Macaca fascicularis: one gene and its partners. The protein of the gene in region 2 interacts with the protein of the main gene of each other region in a pairwise test. Links are inferred from orthologs where the notes say so. Each region holds a gene or a part of one and is shown on either strand. Other genes may lie near its edges.

What was found.
Region 1: the proteins of HSF2 (region 2) and TPM3 interact in binary tests that used the Homo sapiens proteins (3 or more experiments, as listed by UniProt). The two-hybrid records come from large-scale screens. The link is inferred for Macaca fascicularis from reciprocal best matches to the Homo sapiens genes HSF2 and TPM3.
Region 3: the proteins of HSF2 (region 2) and WDR5 interact in binary tests that used the Homo sapiens proteins (3 or more experiments, as listed by UniProt). The two-hybrid records come from large-scale screens. The link is inferred for Macaca fascicularis from reciprocal best matches to the Homo sapiens genes HSF2 and WDR5.

What each region holds. Positions count from the first base shown.
Region 1 is NC_088375.1:106,985,775-106,990,721, forward strand, and holds part of TPM3 (tropomyosin alpha-3 chain), read left to right. Parts: intron 1-3,514; coding exon 3,515-3,648; intron 3,649-4,947. UniProt on the Homo sapiens protein: Binds to actin filaments in muscle and non-muscle cells. Plays a central role, in association with the troponin complex, in the calcium dependent regulation of vertebrate striated muscle contraction.
Region 2 is NC_088378.1:26,395,660-26,400,606, reverse strand, and holds the end of HSF2 (heat shock factor protein 2), read right to left. Parts: intron 4,032-4,947; exon of another isoform or gene 3,876-4,031; intron 2,599-3,875; coding exon 2,514-2,598; intron 2,105-2,513; coding exon 1,809-2,104; 3' UTR 1,070-1,808; downstream 1-1,069. UniProt on the Homo sapiens protein: DNA-binding protein that specifically binds heat shock promoter elements (HSE) and activates transcription. In higher eukaryotes, HSF is unable to bind to the HSE unless the cells are heat shocked.
Region 3 is NC_088389.1:5,230,006-5,234,952, forward strand, and holds part of WDR5 (WD repeat-containing protein 5), read right to left. Parts: intron 4,359-4,947; coding exon 4,285-4,358; intron 3,925-4,284; coding exon 3,835-3,924; intron 3,540-3,834; coding exon 3,450-3,539; intron 3,233-3,449; coding exon 3,149-3,232; intron 1-3,148.

The DNA of each region.
Region 1 (4,947 bases), on a different chromosome or scaffold from region 2:
GTGGTTCCCTTCTATCTGTGGGTCTGGTGGACTAAGCAACAGGCTTTATCACGTTTCTTTGGTTGCTTTGCTTTCCTTTTTTTCCCGGGTACTAGAACACACACTCACAGGGGAGAGGCAGATAGCCTTTTACCCCTGCTTAGGCTCCGCCTTTGTTTACTGTGGGGCAGATAGCTCTACTCCCAGCTTGCCTCCCCTTTGGTGAAGTTTAAATTCCCCAAGGACACGGTATCTCCCTGGTTAATGCATTTGTGAGCACAGGGAACTCAAGTAGTCCTTTACTCACAGGGCTGAAGCCTAACTTTCTAATACTCTTTCATTTGAATTTTCATCTGTGGCTTTTATCTAATAAGAGAAACCCCAGTGTGGCAGAAAGCCAGATTTAGGCTAATCCCCTTCTGTCCTTGGCCCTGTTCTGCCTGAGAGTACCATCCCACTGTCAGTTTCTTTACTGAAGGGGTTGACATATTTGGGAAATCTCTTTGGAGTGGAGGATAGCTGAAGCTGTTGTTAGCCGTCTTATAATGTGACTGAATTACTGCTGCATGCCACTCCTCCCCCAATCCCCCACCCAGGATCTTTGCTTCCTGGGCAGTGGAGAATCCTATTATTACCTGAAGGGAAGGACCACAGAATACTGTATATCCTCCAAGCTGGGCAGAGATAGGTCAGCTGAAACATCAAAACCACATCTGGAGGGGCATGCTAAAACCTAAGATGATTAGGAAAGTGCAGAGCTTAATGTTTCCCAGGGCCACAGGTAGCCTGGTCAACAAAAAGTAGGCCTGTTCAATCTCTTGGTACCCCTTGGTATTATATGACCTGACAGGGACAGGCACTGTGCATAGACTCATGAGGGAAAAGTCAGCTTGTCTTCCTTGTTCCTTTAAACAAAGTATCAAATCTTGATTCTGCAGGCTTTTGTTTCATTGTAAAGAGAACTGATCCTCTGTGCTAGCAGAAAAGAGAAAGGCAAGGTCCCATTCCCTCCCACCCCACCCCCGAGGGGTTCTCTGAAACTTTGCTAGGCCTCCCATCTCGGGTTCTGCTTTAGATACAGGCTTGTTCATGTGTGCATGCTCTTAGGAGGGCACCAAGATGTGTTTCCACCCCCTCCCTTTTCAGCCTTGCTAAGAATTCTATTGTAAATGCTGATTTGTGGGAGAAACTGCCTGAGCCAGCTTGCTGTCATGGCAACTATACACCCCCGCCCCAGAGCCTGTTATCTTCTACTCCAGTTTGGGTAACTACTGGTGAGCTGGATGATGCCTTACATTTCATGAGCTTCCTCTAAATCTAGTTGTATTTTTCGTCTGAGGTGGGTAAGTCATTTTACTAGCAGTGTCTCATAGTTCTTGCCTGATAGCCTTCACTTGTGGCCTTGTTGGGTTTGTGAGGATAAATGTGTGTTGTTACAGAGGACATCTGTTTTTCTGGAAGAGGCAGAAGCAGAGAATACTTGTCTTTGTGGTGTTTTGAATAGTGTAGTTAGAAGCACAAATGGTTTGTTAGTAATTTCAGCTTATGTTGACTTCTCGATTTTCTTTGCCTGGTGGCTAGATTAGCCCCAGCCCTCTGCTTCCCTTCCTAGTCTCTTCAACCACTCATGTTTGTATGTGGAAGTTTTTGTGCCAATCCTGATTGTTAAAAAGGAGTCTTTTGGTCTATATTCTTCCTCATCAGAGCTAGTGGCCCAGGCTATATCTATAGCTGCCCCAACTCCTGCCTGCCAGGAAGAAATCAGGGTAATAGAATTCAGGCACAATCTGGGCTATAGAAGAGAGATCGTGTTTACCAGGCACTTGGATAAGCATCTGAACTGGGTGGTGTAAGGGGCATATTAAATTCTCGTATATTGTTGCAGTCAGGGTACCTCCCACCAGTAAAGGTAGTGGGGAAGCAGTCATGGAAAGAGATTTTCCTACCATTAGAATTTATCCATCCACCTACAGGCTGCCTCCTTCTTTCCTTGTTTCTTATTCCATTGCTAGGGAAACCCATCCAGGATGGGTTTACTTGGACTCTAGCCTATACTTCATTGTGAGATGGAGGCCAGGGGGAAGATTGCCATAAGCTGTATTAGAGGTTGAAGCTAAGGGGATGGCTGGAGGAATAGAAAGGAGACAATTCAGAAATTTGGAGGAATGGTAGTGGGTGTGGTGGAAATGTTCTTTCTTTTTTGTTATGCTGTCAAAACAGATAATTTTAGCCAGAAGCAGCTCCTTGTAGCCAACTTAAAAAAGGAGTAGGGGGGCACAAGTTTAAGGGATGGTGAGTAGGCATCCCAACAATGTTCCATTCTTTTGCTTTCCAGTCTGGAAGGCTATTCTGGAAGACGTTCCCTTGGCTAGTTATTTTTCTGATATATTAGGGTAAAGTGATCATAGGAATAACAGTTTGAGTTAAGCAGCAATTAATAGGTAATCCAGGATTCCCTCTTTTTTTTTTTTTTTTTTGAAATAGAGTGTCACTCTGTTGCCCAGGCTGGAGTATAATGGCACGATCTCAGCTCACTACAATCTCCACCTCCCGGGTTCAAGCGATTCTCCTGCCCTAGCCTCCCGAGTAGCTGAGACTACAGGTGCCCGCCACCAAGCCTGGCTAATTTTTGTATTTTTTTTTTAATTAGAAATGGGGTTTCACCGTATTGACCAGGCTGGTCTTGAACTCCAGACCTCGTGATCCACCCGCCCCAGCTGCCCAAAGTGCTGGGATTACAGGTGTGAGCCACTACACCCAGCCAGGATACCCTCTTTAAGAAACCTTGCAGGCCGGGCGCGGTGGCTCACGCCTGTAATCCCAGCACTTTGGGAGGCCGAGGCGGGCGGATCACGAGGTCAGGAGATCGAGACCATCCTGGCTAACACGGTGAAACCCCGTCTCTACTAAAAATGCAAAAAATTAGCCGGGCGAGGCAGCAGGCGCCTGTAGTCCCAGCTACTCGGGAGGCTGAGGCAGGAGAATGGCGTGAACCCGGGAGGCGGAGCTTGCAGTGAGCCGAGATCGCGCCATTGCACTCCAGCCTGGGCGACTAAGTGAGACTCTGTCTCAAAAAAAAAAAAAAAAAAAAAAAAGAAACCTTGCTTATTTATTTATTTATTTATGTATTTATTCTACTTTATGAGACACTTAGACGGTTACTAAGGATGAGATATGCCTCTGAGCCAGAACTCAGGCAGAAGGAACACTTCATTGACTTTCTTTTCTGACTGCAGTGTGTTTAGGAATTTGAACTGAGTCCAGGAAGTGGGTGGTACTAACTCACTGGGCTGGGCAAGGAACTGAGTTTTAAACCACTCTTCCTGTGGAACATATGGGAGTTCGTTGATGGGAAAGGGAGGAAATATATATATATAAAGTTATGTCTGCTAGATCTTTTAACAGCTGAGCTAAGACAAGTTCTACCCTGCGAGACTCTGGCTTTTTCATGGTAGTCAACCCCGATCTTAATGTCGTAGTTACTTCTTTTCACCATGCCTCTGCTTCCCTTGTCCATTCTTTCCTTCAAATGCAGGCTGAGGCTGAGGTGGCCTCCTTGAACCGTAGGATCCAGCTGGTTGAAGAGGAGCTGGACCGTGCTCAGGAGCGGCTGGCCACTGCCCTGCAAAAACTGGAAGAAGCAGAAAAAGCTGCTGATGAGAGTGAGAGGTGTGTAGTGAAGCCTGATGGAGTGTGGATTTTAAAAGACATTCATAATAGTTCCGATCAAGATTTCCTTATAGACTGTTTTTCAAATAGCAGTTCTGGCTGCATGTGGTGGCTCACGCCTGTAATCCTTGCACTTTGGGAGGCTGAGGCAGGAGGGTGGCTCGAGCCCAGGAAATTGGGGCTGCAGTGAGCTGTGATTGCGCCACCGCACTCCTGGGTGACAGAGCAAGACCCTGTCTCAATCAATCAAGAAAAATAAAATACTAACTCTATCATACAGGATCTCCTTTCTTTCTTTTTTTTTTTTTTTTTTTTTTTGAGACAGAGTCTCGCTCTGTCGCCCAGGCTGGAATGCAGTGGCGCGATCTCGGCTCACTGCAAGCTCCGCCTCCAGGGTTCACGCCATTCTCCTGCCTCAGCCTCCCAAGTAGCTGGGACTACAGGCGCCCGCCGCCACGCCCAGCTAATTTTTTGCATTTTTGGTAGAGACGGGGTTTCACGATGTTAGTCAGGATGGTCTCAATCTCCTGACCTCGTGATCCTCCCGCCTCGGCCTCCCAAAGTGCTGGGATTACAGGTGTGAGCCACCATGCCCGGCCCAGGATCTCCTTTCTATTCTGCATGTTCTGTTCCTTTGAAGACAGTAAGGGTAACTTAGATGTTGTGACCCTTTTGTAATTGGTATTTCCCTACAAATTGGCCCAATGATCCTTAAAATGGGATCACCAGTATGACTTCCACGTTCTGGATCATAAATTTCTATTTGTGAGATTAATTTCTCTAAAACAGAGGTTCTCTAAGTAAGGTCTCAGACCAGCAGCATCGACAATACTTGGGAACTTGGTAAAAATTCACATTCTCAGCTCCTATCCTGATCTACTGAATGAGAAACTTTGGATGTGGGGCCTGGCAATCTGTTTTTAGTAAGCCTTCTCAACCCTGGTTGCATTATTAGAATCTTAGGTGGGGTAGGGGGGAAATCACTGGGGAATTTAAAACTGTGGATTCTTAGATCTCATCCCAGTTCCATTAGAATCAATTGCAAGAGGGGTCTGGGCATTGATGTTTTTAAAGTTCCCCAGCTAATTTTAATGTGTTCCTAGGGTTGAGAACCATGGCCCTTGAACCAAATCATAACTCATCTTTTTGAAAATAGCCAGTTGTCTCCTTGCCACATGTGAGTTAAACTAGAACAGAGGTGCGTGACAACTCAGGGTTTTCAGAATAAATAGTGCCCTGCAAAGGGTACGTTACTACTGTGCAGCTGTGAAAATGAAAGACGCATCTATGTGTATACTA
Region 2 (4,947 bases):
AAAAAAAAAAAAAAATTGTTTGGAGGAAGTAGATTGGATGAGAGATCAAATCATTATGGCATTCAAGTTCCTTTAGGTAAATGTTAGAGAAACATATAACAATTATGTTTTAGAACAGCAATATTAACTATTATCCTAATTTCCTTTCAACTATTTAAACTTAAGATGAAAAATCTGAAATGTCAACTTTAAAAGTACCAGGGTCGTAATCAAGTTTTTCAAAATTATTTTTGAAGAGCTTCTAGAGCTCCAAAATGCCCCCAAGAAGAAACTTGATTGTATTTCACAATGAGAAAGGAATGAAGAAAAAATCTTTTAAGGTTTTCTCCTCTCAGTTTCTAAACTCTTCTTATCACCCTTAGAAACGTAACCTCTTCAGCTCACGAAGAGCACTGTTGTAGGGTCTTGAATTAATTCACCAAGATCCCACTGTCAGAGCCAAGTATTTTAGGATCTAACTAAAATTCCCCTAAGGGAAGTTTCCTATTCTTCTGTGCTAGCCTTTACTTTGAATCATTACATCATAATAAAAGAAATTCTAAGACATGGACAGAATATGGCCAATAGGAAAACCTGCCCTGAAACTCCTCATTAAATAGCCCTATACAATATTAACTGTACTGTTTTCAGTCCTTTGCCCAAAGGTGAAATTCTTCACATGATAAAAGTGCCCTGGCCTTGCATTAAGTCTCTATAATTCTCTTGGGCGACTGTTTCAAAGAAAGAGCTGATTTTACTATTTCTCTTATCTTCTCTCCAGACATCCACTGATAATACTCTTACCCTATTTGGGACAATGAGGGGCATACTTCTCCCACTTTTTTATTAGAAACATAGAAAGCAACCCAGTATAATTTTTAAACAAAGAACTTCAAAATACATTAAATTTAGAGATATATCTCCCTCGTTGCAATATACAATATATTTTCGAGATGTGGTACAAAGATCTTGGTGTGACTCATATTGAGAGTAATGAACCATAGACAGTTTAAAGCCACTGCTTCCTATGAGAAGAAAAAATTGTTTCATGTGAGTGTCACCTCTAAAGAAGACACATAACAGACACTAGTACTCAACATTCATTGTGTTTATTTTACTAAACAGTATGGTTCAAAAAAACACAAACCGGAAAACCTTTATTTAAAACTAGTCCAACTAAGTGGATGGGGCTGACTCCATCCCATCCCACCCCCGATCTTTCTATATATATGGAGCTGGAACCCTATCAGACTGTGAACATTCATGTATACTTTGTCTTTCCTGTTGAACATGAATAAACTTCTTTGAACATAAATGAACTTCTCTGAACCAAAAGAAACAAATGAAGTTTTACAAGATACAGGCACTTTATGTTCCCAGTTTTAAAAATAAGCCAAGTGAAAAATATTTAATAAAAATAACTGGAGCAGAGAAAGCTTTAAGAGTTATACCATTAGTTCAAATGACTTACACTCAATGCAAATAGACAGCATCAAACAGGAAAACAAACAAAAATTTAACTGAGGTTAATGGTCATATTGTAATAAAAAGAAATCCAATTTACCAAAATTGGAAAAAAATGGCCATTTGAATCCAACTTAAAGATATGCCAATAATGTGCATTAAATCTGTGTAACTATGCAGCTGAGTAACATCTGAAAGCTTTGCAAGAGTGTGTGGTTAGTGAGAAAAGCAAAAGGTGCTTTTATTCCACAGTATCTGATTAAACAAAACAAAGCAATTTACAAAAAAAGTACCAAATGATACTTCAAAATAAATAGTTCATCATTTTGATGAATATATACATGTAAAGTCCTCTTCTTGGGGATTTAGCTATCTAAAAGTGGCATATCACTATCCAGAGGTGCAGGAGCAAGTTCACATAAATAAAACAGGGTAGCTTCACTAGCTTCAGCTTCAGTCAATGGCTCCAGGCGAACAAGCTTACTTTGGGTTGGTTCTGGGTCTAGGCTGCTATCCAGAAGCTCATCAACTTCTATGGGTTTATCTACAGAGGACAAAACTTCTGATGATGCTGTTGTACTCGCCTGTTCAACAGAAGAAGCAGGGTTCCCATCGAGGAATGCAAGAAGTGGAAAGGCAGTATACTGGATAAGCTGCTTATCTATAAAGATCAGAAAAACACTCTAATCACCAGCTTATATTGAGTTCAAACTGAGGGGAAAAAATGAAAACAAATGTACACATAGGCAATTACTACTTTCAGATAGCCAAACAAGAAATGACATGATGCACTATGCCAATAAATTTTAAAATGTGCAAGTCAGTAGTTCTCATTCAACAATTAAGAAATGAGGGGTCTTTCAGTTTCCTAAAGTTAAATAGGAAAGAAAGAAAAAAAAAAAACTTTAAGATAATTGTTACCTCACCAATTCAACTTGCTCTATACCTTGACACACTATTCACAGAACTAAAGCCAGCATATTCAATTGTTAAGACTACCCTTGGCTTGCACTTGTTTCTACATAGGATTAAAAAAACCTACATAGACTGAATACTATATTTATACCTACCTGGTTTGGATTTAGATTTTCTTCCCTCTTCTGAAACTGGCTGAACTACATTGTTCTTAGTAGTTTCTAATCCTTTATTCTCAGACTAAAAGAAAAAATATATATATATAAGTACTTGTTTCATATTTTAGTTTCTGAAAAAAATGAAAAATTGATACAATATGTAAATACTGGTATATTATCTGAAATATATGAGATGGGGAAACATCAGGAAAAATGGGCTACAGAGAGAGATTTCAGTAGAGATAACAAGACTGGTTAAGGAACTATTGCTGTCACTGAGGGGATAAAACAAAGAACCTGAATTAGGATATTCTATATTAAGGATGAAATGAAGGGGGATTTCAACAGCAGAACAGATAGAATTTGTCAAGAGTAAAAGATCAGAACGAATCAAAGATGACTGGTTTCAAAATGTTAACTGAGAGATAATTATGCAATTAAATTCATTTTAAGTAGTTTTGATTTAAAAAATGTATTATACATTTCACTCATAAACAGAATATTTAGCATAAATGAACACAGAGTAGCTCAGGATGACATAATGACATCCTTAAAACTAATTATCACTATTTAGAAGCCTCAAAGTTGAGGTGGTGTTTCTTCTTGTCCTTTTTGTAGCTCTGTCAGTTCTTTTCTGTCATTTAAATTGCTTCTTTGAACCACTTTCTTCTCTCCTCACATCTGATTGTGGTAGGGAAATTGTATCTTTACCTTGTTAATTTCTTCAGTGCTCTTTTCAATGATGTTCAAACTCTGAGGTGCAGAGGTTCTTAATTTTTCCTGTAAGTCCCAGACATCTGCAAGTCCCAGATATCTACATGCTGGCTAAATATATATGGTGTAACCAACTGTAAACTAATTACAGTAATTCCCCTGATATTTAACATAAAATGAAGCTGTATAAGATTTAGGATTTAGAGAAGATAAGGGCTCCAAGATATAATAAAAACTACGAAACCTTTCCAAAAGTGTACATAAAAATATTTCATCACTTAGCATTCACAATAAATATATAAACATTAATGAAATAATACCAACTTTATTTTTAGGCTTCCTAAAATAGGTATTTTCCAAAGATATCACTGTTATTCTAAAACATGAGAACCCGATGACAAACGGATTTCAAATAGACACAATAAAAAATGATAAAGGGGATATCACCACTGATCCCACAGAAATATAAACTACCATCAGAGAATACTATGAACACCTCTACACGAATAAACTAGAAAATCTAGAAAAATTGGATAAATTCCTAGACACATACACCCTCCCAAGACTAAACCAGGAAGAAGTCGAATCTCTGAATAGACCAATAACAAGTTCTGAAATTGAGGCAGTAATTAATAGCCTACCAACCAAAAAAAGCCAGGACCAGACGGATTCACAGCCGAATTCTACCAGAGGTACAAAGAGGAGCGGTACCATTCCTTCTGAAACTATTCCAAACAATAGAAAAAGAGGGATTCCTCCCTAACTCATTTTATGAGGCCAGCGTCATCCTGATACCAAAACCTGGCAGAGACACAACAAAAAAAGAAAATTTCAGGCCAATATCCCTGATAAACATCAATGCGAAAATCCTCAATAAAATACCGGCAAACTGAATCCAGCAGCACATCATAAAGCTTATCCATCACGATTAAGTTGGCTTCATCCCTGAGATGCAAGGCTAGTTCAACATACACGTATCAATAAATGTAATCCATCACATAAACAGAACAAATGACAAAAACCACATGATTATCTCAACAGATGCAGAAAAGGCCTTTAATAAAATTCAACACCCCTTCATGCTAAAAACACCCAATAAACTAAGTATTGATGGAACATATCTCAAAACTGTAAGAGCTATTTATGACACACCCACAGCCAATATCATACTGAATGAGATTTCATTTCCCATGCAAATTCTTATTCATTCATAGTGGCCAATTAAGATTGCTGTACTGAGGAGTATAAGGCATCTGATTTATTAGGAAAGTGTTGTAATCCATGTTATGTAACACCTGTCATGAGCAAGGGAAGGACAGCTGATGTGGCAATTATTTGAAAACATTAAAATCTAGATTCAGAACTATAATGAAAAGTCACTCTCAAATGTAATTTTTCTACAGCATTGTAGAGCAAAATGCAATTTGTTGCTTAACTGCTTACAGTTTTTGAAAACTATAATCAAGTTCTTGGTTTCTGGAATAAGAAGATGGTCCACAAATAAAAAATGACTCAATGTCTAGTCACAAATAAACAATAAAGCACATTCACTAAATGAACAAATGATATGGGTCCATTCAACTTAAACGGTCCATGAGAATAACATTCAGTAATATATTTACTGAAACACAGAGCATGTTACACAAAATCTTACAATATAAATCCAGGTAAACTATGGTCCACATGCCAAATTTAGCATGCTGCCTGTCTAAATGAA
Region 3 (4,947 bases), on a different chromosome or scaffold from region 2:
GAGCACTCCAAGGGCTCTGTGGAGTCCACCTGGGCAGACAAGCAGTAGCAGAAGCTCCAGGGCAGGAAAAACACAGGTCCCAGGTGCAACGAGGGCACGAGGGCTGTGGCTGACGGCGGTTGGCAGCGGCCCTCAGCTGAGGAGCCCTGGCCAGAGAGGGCAAACCCTGGCCAGAGATGGGACAGGGATGGGAGGCAGTAAGCAGGGGGCCACGTGCCTCAAAGTCTCTAAAGCTCCAAAATGTACCTGTCAAAAAGCTAAACACATATCCTGACTACTGCATTTCCCCTCCAAAGTCATCCTTCACAAACTGCCACAGATGCAAACAGGATGTTCGCTGCACTCCTTTTTGTTCAAGTGAGAATTACACATAAGCACCCACTGAGAGGACTGGCACAGTCCCTGCTCACACAGCAGGCCCACACCAGCAGTCCAAGAGTATAGATGTGCGCAGACATCAAAGGTGCCCCAGGACAGACACGGTGGCTCCCGCCTGTAATCCTAGCACTTTGGGAGGACCAGGCGGGTGGATCACTTGAGGTCAGGAGATCGAGACCAGCCTGGCCAACATGGTGAAACCCTGTCTCTACTAAAGATACAAAAATTGCCGGGCGCGGTGGCTCAAGCCTGTAATCCCAGCACTTTGGGAGGCCGAGACGGGTGGATCACGAGGTCAGGAGATCGAGACCATCCTGGCGAACACGGTGAAACCCCGTCTCTACTAAAAAATACAAAAAACTAGTCGGGAGAGATGGCGGGCGCCTGTAGTCCCAGTTACTTGGGAGGCTGAGGCAGGAGAACGGCGTAAACCCGGGAGGCGGAGCTTGCAGTGAGCTGAGATCCGGCCACTGCACTCCAGCCCGGGCGACAGAGCGAGACTCCGTCTCAAAAAAAAAAAAAAACAAAAACAAAAATTAGTCAGTCGTGGTAGTGGGCACCTGTAATCCTAGCTATTTGGGAGGCTGAGGCAGGAGAATCACTTGAACCCAGGAGGCAGAGGTTGCGGTGAGCCAAGATCGCACCACTGCACTCCAGCCTGGGCAACAGAGTGAGACTCCATCTCAAAAAAAAAAAAAAAGAAAAAACAAAGCCCCCACAAACCTCTCTGCAGTGGAGACGGCTACAGAGCAGCAGCTGTGGTGCAGTACCAGTTACTTAAAGGACAGCAGTGAGCTACGCTGGAAAAGACGCACCTAAAACAGCAAAGTAGAAGACCACAGAGGGACCGACTCCACCTCCCAGCAGCTGACCCCAGGGGTGACTCAGGGAATTCATTTTCTACTTCCTACATTTGCTCACCTTTGTAGTTTTTTTTTTTTTTTAAGACATGGGGTCCCACTCTGTCACCCAGGCTGGAGTGCAGTGGTACCATCTTGCTCACCAGAGCCTCAAACTCCTGAGCCCAAGCAATCCTCCCACCCTGTCCTCCCAAGTAGCTGGGACCACACGTGCACACCACCACGTCTGGCTAATTTTTTGCTTTTTGTATAGAGACAGGGTCTCACTCTGTTGTCCAGGCTGGTCTCAAACCCCTGGTCTCACGGGATCCTCCTGCCTCAGCCACCCAAAGTGCTGGAATTACAGGTGGGAGCCATGGCACCCAACCTGTTTTTGTTTTTGTCTTTTTATGAGCAAACTACTTTCGTAGGAAAAAGACTTTTAAAATCCTGCCTATCACCTGCGAGTCCCACCTGCACTATCTTTGGCCTCTAGGATGCTCATGGAATTCTTTCTTCCAACTCAAAGGCCACCAGCGAACCCCTTTCTCAGGTTACTTCACAAGTGTTCATTTGTCAGCCCAGTCTGAAAGTCAGTTCTGCTGACTGTGACCCAAGGTGCCCTGAAGGGCAGGGGACTGGCACCAAGGGGCTGGGCCCACGAGCACACAGCCACAAGCACAGGGCCACATGATGACATTCCCACAGCAAACAGCCTCCCTGCAGCGGTGACACTGGGCCTGCGAGGGCCTTGTGGCCCGGTTATGTGCGGGGCTCAGACACCGCACCCCGCCCTGGCCTGACACACTACCCATCCAGCCAGTACCAGGGCTTCGCCTGCCATCTCACTCGGGCAAAGCCTTGCAAGGGTAAAAATGCTTAAACCCATTCACCACCAAGACAACAGAAAATGAATGCCACACTGGCGGGCAGCATGGCACAAACGCTGCATCCACCTTTCCTTCCGCTTCTCAACGAAGGGCAGGCTTCGCCGAGAAACTGCCTCATGCACTTTGTTAACAGAAGAACCTTCTGGCCACTCTGAAATGGAGCGGTTTGTGATACTGCATACACTTTAACTCTCGGCCATTTGTTCTTGTTTTCTTCTTTTTAGACGGAGTTTCGCTCTTGTTGCCCAGGCTGGAGTGCAGTGGCACGATCTCGGCTCACTGCAACCTCTGCCTCCCAGGTTCAAGCGAGTCTCCTGCCTCAGTCTCCCCAGGAGCTGGGATTACAGGCGCTCACTACCACGCCCAGTTAATTTTCATAGTTTTAGTAGAGACGGGGTTTCACCATGTCGGTCGGGCTGGTCTCAAACTTCTGACCTCAAGTGATCCACCCACCTCGGCCTCCTAAAGTGCTAAGATTACAGGTGTGAGCCACCATGCTCGGCCTCTCGGTCATTTGTTGTGCACAGTGGTACAGCAACAGCAGAATGGCAGGATGTGTTCCTTTGCAAAGCCTGTTCTCCAGAGAGCTCCAGCTTCCAACTGTTCCCACCAGGACTGGGCCATCCCCGCCCAGAGCTAACTCCACTCAAAACTCACACTTCACCTACACTCCCACTCCCAGCACCCTTCTCAGCCTGGCCGCCCTTCCTGTCCCATGCATCAGTTCAGGGTACACTACCCTCTGAACGCCTGTGGCCACTGCCCACCCCTCATCCAGCCTGCACGAAAGGCCCCTTGGTGCTCACCACAGGGCACCCCACTGACACCTCACCACCCCCTTGCCATCCCTCTACTGCACACAGGACTCATCTCTCAGGTCCCAGCCTCCAACCTGAATGCTCTAGACTGTGGCATGACAGCAGGAATCAGATAGGCACAGGCAACGTCCAGGCTTACGCCCCTCGGGGAGACAGCTGGCCACATCCAGCATCAGAGGCACGTAGTGCCGGACACCACCCCGTCTGTGTCAGCAGGACTTACGGCCGAGACTGGATCCGAGTGAGCTGGCAAAGTCTTGAGGCACTTCCCTGTTTTCACATCCCATATCCTCACACTTTCATCAAACTGAACACAAAAGAAGAAATGACAGTGATTCTACAGGAAGGAGAAGGAGCAAACCTCCCCAGAACCCAAGACCTGCCACCAGTCCATCCTCCCCACAAACAGCACAGAAAGGACTCGGGCCCCACCTGCCTTCTCCACAGTGGCTACAAGCAAGTTCAACAGCCTTCCCAACATCCAACACCACCTCCCCCAGGGAAGACACCCCGGCCACACTCACGGATCCTGAGACAATAAGGTTGGACTGGGGATTGAAGTTACAGCAAAAGACATAATTACTGTGTCCCTTCAGGGTTTTCAAACACTTCCCCTAAAACAAGAGTATTAGTAGTATTACTCCAGTGCTTATTTCCCCAAACATAAGTGTCGGATCACATTCATCAATGCCTGACAGCTCAGAGCATGCCTGATGCCCCGCCAGCAACTGGCTGTTCCCCGAAGTCAACTCGACCTCCCCCACCTGCCCCCGCCCCATGCCCCTGCAGCCAGTCTTCCCTGGAGAGGAGCACTGAGTGCTGCTTACCGAGCAGTCAACCCAGTCCCCACCACCCGCCCTGTGCCCCGCTGCCGGTCTCCCCTGGAGAGGAGCGCTGAGTGTTGCTTACCGAGCTCACGTCCCATATCTTCAAGGTTTTGTCATCTGAGGCGGAAACAAGAAGGTTAGAATCTGACGACCAGGCTACATCGGATATTCCCTTGGGGAGAAAAAACAGGGTCAGTAACTTGCCAGGACAAAGTAGGACCGGTTAGCAAAAGGTCAAAATCCCAAACATCCCCATTGCCCTCAGGAAATCTTCTCACTAGCCTTAACCTTACAAAAGACACGCGGCCCTGGAGGAAAACAGCAGGCTTTCCGCAGCTCTGCCAGCCTCACAGACACTCCTCCGTGGGAAGTCAAATGTATTTGCGTTAAAAGTTCAAGATGCAAATAACTCTAAAAAAACAACGTGGAAATTTAAACCTGAACCCACAGCTCTCGAAGCAGCCCTGACCCCTTGATCACTAGGAGCCACCCTGTTCAACAGTCAACATTACCGCACGGGGCTGAAACCTACCAGCTTGTGGCCAGATATGGTTTTCTCAAATTTCCCATCATACGCGCCCCAAATTTTAATGAGTTTATCAGCGGCTGAAAGAAAACAAAAGGATCGGAGGCTAAGAGCAAGACACAGTTGTCCAGTCATCCAGAATCCAAAGTCTGGGCTTTTCCCACATGAGCCCCAGATGATCAGCATGAACCACATGGCTCAGAACCCATTCCGCACGGCCACATCCCCGAGAGGACCAGTCCCCTTCCCCTCCCTCCAAGGGCCCACGGGCAACTTCTTCTATTTCTTTTTTCGTTTTTTTGAGACGGAGTCTCGCTCTGTCACCCAGGCTGGAGTGGAGTGGCATGATGTCGGCTCACCGCAACCTCCACCTTCCGGGTTCAAGTGATTCTCCTGCCTCAGCCTCCCAAAAGCTGGGACTACAGGCATGTGCCACCATGCCTGGCTAATTTTTTTTTTGTATTTTTAGTAGAGACGGGGTTTCACCATATTGGCCAGGCTGCTCTCAAACTCCTGACCCTGTGATCCACCCGCCTCAGCCTCCCAAAGGGCTGAGATTACAGGTGTGAGCCACCACGCCCAGCCCCCACGGGCAATTTCAATCGGCACTAAGGTCACAGTTCTAGGAGGAGACACGCCCACCTGCTACAGCCCCCCAGCGGCAGGTGA